Linked DNA regions of Oryzias latipes. The main gene of each other region encodes a partner of the protein of the gene in region 2 in a complex. Links are inferred from orthologs where the notes say so. Each region holds a gene or a part of one and is shown on either strand. Other genes may lie near its edges.

What was found. Proteins that work in one complex are often made in the same cells at the same time.
Region 1: virma (region 2) and rbm15b share a complex: the UniProt entries of both Homo sapiens proteins name them as parts of the WMM complex. The link is inferred for Oryzias latipes from reciprocal best matches to the Homo sapiens genes VIRMA and RBM15B.

What each region holds. Positions count from the first base shown.
Region 1 is NC_019863.2:6,227,526-6,231,505, reverse strand, and holds the start of rbm15b (putative RNA-binding protein 15B), read right to left. Parts: upstream 2,801-3,980; 5' UTR 2,242-2,800; coding exon 1-2,241. UniProt on the Homo sapiens protein: RNA-binding protein that acts as a key regulator of N6-methyladenosine (m6A) methylation of RNAs, thereby regulating different processes, such as alternative splicing of mRNAs and X chromosome inactivation mediated by Xist RNA.
Region 2 is NC_019874.2:17,767,021-17,770,520, reverse strand, and holds part of virma (protein virilizer homolog), read left to right. Parts: intron 1-691; coding exon 692-934; intron 935-1,467; coding exon 1,468-2,198; intron 2,199-2,544; coding exon 2,545-2,682; intron 2,683-2,769; coding exon 2,770-2,996; intron 2,997-3,085; coding exon 3,086-3,500. UniProt on the Homo sapiens protein: Associated component of the WMM complex, a complex that mediates N6-methyladenosine (m6A) methylation of RNAs, a modification that plays a role in the efficiency of mRNA splicing and RNA processing.

The sequences.
Region 1 (3,980 bases), on a different chromosome or scaffold from region 2:
GATGGCGCCCTGCAGAGCCAGCAGGATGGCAAAGCCGTCAGGGCGGCCGAGCTTGATGCGGCGCGACACCTCGTCCAGCCGGGTCTGGTCCATGCGCAGGCGCTGGGCAATTTTCAACTGGCTTGGCTGGTTCCGGTTCTGCAGATTCAGGCTGTCCTTCAAAACGCCGCTCAGGAAGGAGGCCCCTCCCTCCAGCATGTACAGCTCCGTGGGGAAGCTGCTGTTCTTCAAGGCAAAGAAGCCCTGCCACACCTTGGTGAGGGAGCCCTGGGCGTACTCCGACAGCGAGCTCAGGGTGGACGAGGTGTCCGTGTGGGCAGCGGGGGGGCTGGCGGCGGCCACGTCGCTGTTTCGATGGTGGTTGTTGACGCTCGCGGACCTCTTGCTGTGGTGACGGCTGGATGGGGGCTCTTCCTCTGTGGCATTTGCGTGTCGCCCCCCTCCACCACTGTCAGGGGAGTGGTCTCTTGGCTCAGTGGTGGAGTCCGGGGCTCGAACCCGTGCTCGGTCTGGGCTTGCATCAGGGGAGGCGGTGCCTCCCGGAACTCGAACCCTCGACCTTCCCTTTTCTTTCTCCTTTTCCTCCGACTGCTTGTCGACAGACAGACTTCTGCTTCTCCTGCGGCTCCTCCTCTCCTCCCTCTCCTTCAGCCAGCGTTCCCTGCTCCTGCTGCGGCTCCTCGCCCCTCGGCCAGCTCTTCCAAACGCCTCCACTCCTCCCACCCTCCTGTCCAGGCTTCGGGTGGGGCTGCTGGGAAACTCTCTCTCCAGCAGGACCCTCTCTCTCAAAGAGAGGAGGCTGTGGGAGGGCGGTGAGGAGCGCTCCCTGGTTCCTCTCAGCTCGCGCTCCAGGCTGCGATGGCGACTGTAGGCCTCTCCAAGGAGGTCATAATGCGTGGGGGGAGGCACAGGAAGCTGGTAACCAGGGGGAAATGGGCGGGAGGGGCTCTCCTCCACTTTAGCAAAGTCCACCCTGAGGCGGCGCTCTGGCCCGCCCAGAGGAAAGCCCCTCATCTGGGTACAGGCGGCCTGGGCTGCATCCAAACTTTCATACTGGATGTAAGCAAAGCTGTCGCCCTTCACATAGTCAATGTTCCTAATGCTTCCAAAGCGGTCAAATTCCCGCGCCAGAGCGGTCAGCGAGTTTCCTGGTCCCAGACCGCCCACCCACAGTCGGGTGGTGGGGTTGGCTTTGCCGTATCCGATTTTAATTGGGTTTCCACCAATAAGACGGCCCTGCATGGCCACTTTGGCCCTGTGGGCCATGTCAAGGTTCTGAAACTTTACAAAGGCATAAGCCCCGCCCTGGCCGCGTGCTGGCCGTTTGATGACCACGTCCTCAATGATGCCGTATTTATCAAACCCTCTCCTGAGTTCAGCCTCCGTCACATTCCCGTCCAGGTTTCCGATGAACAGGTTGCTGGTGGCCCTCTGGTCATCCTCGGGCTTCAGGTCCTCCACTACAGGCATGGGGGGGAACGCGTAGGGCCGCCCCCTCTCATCCAGCATACCATAATAGTCCAGCAGCCTTTCCCGGTCTCTGCTCAGACCCAGGCTCTCCAGCGCAAAGTGTCTGGCCCGGAGGTCCCGCATGCTGCTCACGCCGGTCCCGGGTGGGGACAAGGAGCGCTGTCTGTACGGATAGGGGGCGTGTAAAGGTAGATAGCTGACGTCCGGGGGGGTGACGCTCCGCCTCCTAACGTACATGGGCTCTATTTTGAGCTGTCTATCACCCAGAGCCAGCCGGGAGGACTTGGCGTGCCGGGCCTCCTTGGCGTCCTCCGGCTGTCTGAAATTGACGTAGGCGATGCGGCCGAGCTCCGGCGTGTGCGACAGCTTCACGCTCACGTCCCCGAACTTTTTGAATTCGTGGAACAGCGCGTCCTCGACGTCCTCGTCCGACACCTGCGAGCCCAGGTTGCTGATGAGCAGCGTTTTGTACTCCAGCGTGCCGGGTCTCGCGGCGGGGAGCTCCGCGGCCCGCAGCGGCGGCCGGCCCAGGAGGCTGAGCTCGTGTCGGTGGTGGAGCTCCAGCGCGGCCGCGCGCTCCTCCCGAAGGCGCGGCTTCTCCCGCTCCCTGCTGCGGCTCCGCCGGTGGTAGCTCCGGCTCTCCGCCAGCAGCAGAGCCAGCGGCGGCGGCGGCGGCAGCTCCTCTCTGCGGGCGCTCTCCCGTTCTCTCTCTCGAATCCGCTTGGCTAGGGCCCTGGATGGGCTGCCGTCTCTCACGGCCTGCCGCTTCATTTTCCAATAATGATGGAGAGTTTCAACTTTTTTTCCGAGCCTGCAGCGGAGATCCGGCGCTGCTGCGGATTCCGGGAGCGTTAGCTCGGAGACGGCGGCGGCGCAGGCTGCTTCGGTTAGGGGGCGCTTCCAGAGCGGGCTCCGAGTGGTCACACATTTACGGGGAAAAGAGGAGAAGCCTTTAAAAACATGTCAGCATCACAAGAGCTGCACCAGCGCCGCCATCTTGGACAATAGGAATGTGCGCGTTCCCAAAGGAGGGCGGAGCCTGTAGTGACGCAAGCACGTTGCACGTTTTGATTTGAAAACTCCTGCATACCAAATTGTCCTTGTTTATTAGGTTTATCCATTTTTCAAAGGAAATCAAAATAACACAGCAAGCAGATGATACTGCATTATTCTTAATAGACAGAAACCACATTGACCTTGATACAAGTATAATTAATTATTTTTCAAACGCTTCTGGATTACGTCAATAGAGATTACGTCTTAGTTTAGTTAAATGTCAAATATTATTAAAAAGTTAACCCTCGTGCTAACCTATGACCCCACCCTTGCATTGACGTGTTCTTCCTACCATGACAAAGGTGGATAAAGGTGGAAAGATTTCATGTAATCCATGGACACCAGTGAAGATCACAAATCATTGAAGAAAAAAGGTTCAGAGCACTGTCTAGTGGGTCTAGATGACCCAACTCCCAATGTTAAAGTGCCTAGGATAGCACAAAGGTTAAAATGGTTAAAGAAAAACATGGTATCCCTGTTAAAAATGTAGTTACATATTTAGGCACCAGTATAACAATGGACAGAAAATCTAGACAAACACAAAACTTCTCCTTGAGAATTAGAAAAAATGCAAGATGTCATGAATATGTGGCTTCAAATAGATCTATCTATTTTTGGCGGGATCCTCTTGGCTAAAGCGAAAGGTATCTCAAGAGAAATTTCTCCTAATCTATCCTTATCTTTACTTCTGTTCAACTTCCAAAGAAATAAACAACCTCTTAGTTAACTTTGTATGGAAAAATAGACGTCACTATCTTCAGAAAGAACTATTTTATGCCCCCTCATGCAAAGGAGGTTATGAACTCCTACATTTCTCAGATTTGAATTATACATTTAATGGTTACTGGATTCAAAAAGGCCTTTAAGACTCAAAATCAATTTGGTACTTTATCCCATTTAATATTTTATAATAAAATCGGGGGTCTTCAATTTCTTTTTAAATGTAAATATCAGAAAGACTCCTGTCAATCTTTAAAATTTGTATCTGCAAGTTTTGTCGTGCCTGGACGTTATGCTATGCACATTATTTCTCACCAAACAAAAGTATAACTTGGAACAATGATGATATAACCATCAAAAATTTGATCTTTTTGATGAGAATGGCAGCCATCGATTATGACAGGTTCTTCAATAAAATGTGTTTTCCAGTAACAAGCAAAGAATTCAAGAGTGTAATGAAAGCTCTTGTCTCAGGAGTAATTCAACTACTGACTTCTAACCTTAAATATCACGAGGAATCTGAAATACACCCTCCTTTAACACTTAATGGTATTGATATTTTCAATCAAAAAATTGCAACAACAAACACATAATACTTTTAGCGAAAAAAGAAGCATAACACCTAAAGGAGAAATTTATTGGAACCATATTTTAAATTATATCAATTGGAAAAAAAGCATGGTTACTGCCAGATACATTTTGAATAAACAATAAAGTTAAAGAAATACATAAAA
Region 2 (3,500 bases):
TTTTCCATGACAGGAGAAGGAGTATTAAAAATGAAACATCATTAAAAAAAAAAAAACGCAATTTGAGTTATAGGAAAGAGTAATTCTTTGTGTATCCTGCTGTAGTTTCATCATGACTCAACGTTTGTTAGCAAAACTTGTTTGCTAACTAGACCAACGGTAAAACCCGAAACACTGGTATGGTCTAAAAACAGTTAGACAAACAATTCGAAAAACCTTTCACTAAGCTGTGCAGCCGCCTGCAGTATCTAAAGAATCAACACAGCAAATTTTCCCTAAACTAAATAAAGATAAAGCTCAGTGATTTGTTATAAATCACACTTCCAGTCTCTCTGGAGTTTTCCAATGAAATTGGAGAATGTTGAATGGTGCAGATTTTTTTGTTTTTTTAATTGTATTAAATTGCACTATTCCTATAGCTTTACAAAAACCTCTTGAGATGTGTATTTTAATCTTTTAACATCTTTAGACCCAAGCTAATATTTGAGCTAACCTTTTACAGATGTAGTCATTTAAACTGGTTAAGCAGAATTAAATACTGTGGTAATCTAACCTAAAATGTGACGTCCCTGCATGTGGACACCAGGTCTTGAGAGGATTAGCATCAGCAGCAGATCTGTCGTTGAATATTGCTGTGGATTTTGCTTTGTGGGAATGTACAGCTGTGACGTGTCAGGCGAACTCTCTGCAGTGAGCGGGGTCAAAAGTGAGCCGAGCGAGGTCCGATGCGACTACTTGGAGGCCGTGTCACCGGAGAGGCCTGCCGATGAGGCCTACTCAGACGCCGAACAAGAAGAGGCGGAGGACGAGGAAGAAGAGGAGGAGCAAGAAGAGGAAGAAGACACACGGACAGAGGGGAGCGCTCCAGAGGAAGAAGAGGAAGAGGAGGATGAAGAAGATGAGGGTGAGGACGAGGAAGAGGAGATGGAGGAAGGTAGGGTGTTGTTACATGAGAGTGGGATAGCCCACAATCCCAAATGGACACTCAGCCCGAAGCTGAACCCCTCGATGCCACAAAGTCTGCTCTACTTTTCAATGTTGATGCCACAGGAGGGAGGGGGGAGGCTGTAGGAACAGGGTCCATTTGGGACTGAGTAACGGCACGAGTGTTTGCACAGACATGCTGCATCTGTCTGCAACTGCTTGATGCTGCACTCGGTGAAACTCTGAAGGCTTTCAATGAACTTTTATGTGCCACCATATGGAGGGTCCTAACGCCTTCTCACAGCTGTGACTGACTGCGCTGAAGTCATATCATGCATGCCTAACTAACTCCGCATGCTTGGCTTAAAACTGCCATGAAAGAAAAGGTTTGTGGGTCAATAGTTAGTTACAGGGATTTGGGAGCTGTCTTTTACTTCCTCATGTGAACTAATTTTTCCTCACTCATGTATTAAGTTTTTAAGCATTTTTTTGGTCAAACTTTCTTTCTATTGAATAAAATTTGTGAAATCTCTGTACTTTCAGGTGATGATGGTTATGAGCAGATTTCCAGTGATGAAGATGACCTGGATAATGGAAGCTTCAAGCTGCCCACCTTTGACATGGACTACACTCCTGAGGATCTAGCCTCTGTGCCACCTGTCCAATATGATCCGTACGAGCGAGAACTTAGGCCGCTTGCTTACTTCACTCCACCATACAAGACTCATTTTGAGATCCAGTTTGAGAAGGCCAGCACAGAGGAACCCAGAGATGCTGGTGGAACAGAAGGAGGAGCAGGTGGAGAGGAGGCGGAGGCTGTTGCTCATCTAAAAGAACTACTGGCCGATATTGGCGAGGACAGAGATGCTCGCTGGGTCACTGCTCTGGAAGAAGCACCTGGACTACTCAACAAAGGGCTGGCTTATTTAATTAAACAAGAACAAGGAGATGCTGAGGAGCCTCTGAAAGCTTTAGTCCAGTGGGCTCTCCAAGCTTTAGATTTGGAGATTGCTCTCACCCAACCCATTGCCCTGAATCTCAGACAGTTAAAAGCAGGTGCGAAGCTGGTATCCTGCCTGGCAGGGTGTCCGCACGGCCTCACCATATTGCTGCGGGAAGGCACCCTGAAAGTGCTGCTGGAGCTGCTCCATGCAGACCACGTGTCCTCCACACTGAAGCTGAGTATCCTGAGAACTTTAGATGGTCTCATCAGCTGTCCTGCTGGGGTGGAGGCCTTCCTGCACGCAGGGGATTCAGAAAAGAGCGGCTATCAGGTTAGCAACACACTGCAGATAGCTTTTAAGTTTTGTTTCTCATCATTTTTTTGTTTCTCATTTACACAGTCGTATATTAATTAAGTTTCAAACAGATATTTTAAGATTTTGCTAAAGTTAGAAAACTCAAACATACTCAAATATATATTAGTAATTCAGAGTAACGTTGTTTTAAAGATCTCAGACAGGCAGCTGTAAAACTGAAGAAGCTACTCGAATGAACAGCAAAACGTCCCCTGATGAGCCTTTAAAGTCCACTCAGAAGTCATGGGATAACTCTGCAAGAGTCTTCCCAGGTGTATTAGGAAATTTTAACAATCTGTCGTCGCTCTGATGTGCTTCACAGCGTCTAGTCCAGCTGTTCTTGCGTGAGGAAACAGTTCGGGTCATAACAGCTGGCAATGCCGTGTTGCAAAAAAGCCACGTGTACGAGGTGCTCGTCGACCTGCAACAGTCAGCAGCAGCTTGGAGTGAAACTCAACAGGTGCCAGCACTCATTCACACCACTCGTTTATGCACATTTAGTGCCCTCTCTTCTTTTGTAGTCATTGTGCAGGGTTATATCTTTCAGGAGGACATGGAAGATGCTGAATGCCCTATGGAAGAGGAAACTCCGCTGGGCTCCTCCCCTGTGAGCGAGGCTGAGCTTGATAGGATAGCAGGCGTTCTGGAGGAGCTTCATCACCTGCTGGAATCTGCTTCTCACTCCATGGTTCAACCGCCTGGGAAAGCTTTCCCAACTTCTGCCAGAATAACAGGACCACCAGAGAGGGATAACCCATACCCAACACTGTATAGGTACAAAGCTGACCACAAAATCTGCACTGCAACGCTTCTGACTCTTGTTTGAAGTAGTTGATTACAGTCATTTTTTTCTTCCCTGTCAGGTACATGCATGCCTGTCATTTCCTGGAAAGCACAACATTGGTTTTGTCAGCGGCTGCTGTAGCAGGTCATGTTGGTGTCACTCAGGCCGTTAAAGAGCTCCTACGCTTCCTGTCACTCACCCAGTCAGGCCTACTTTTCCTTCTTGCCCAGCCATCTCCAACCAACCTGCTGCTGCGTCTCCTGGCATCTGTGGCAGAATCAGAAGGAGAGGACAGCACAGGAGGGGAAGGGGCCCTCACAGGGCCAGGGTTTGGGGAGGAGGGGTTTTGCATGTGGCTGATGCAGGCGCTGCATTCTCTGCAAGGTGTGTCAGAACTTATGAGCCACGTGGCCGCTGGAGGAGAAGGTGGCGCAGGACTCGATGAAGGAGACAATTCAGAAGTTCTCGGCATGCTTCACGCACTTTACCTGATG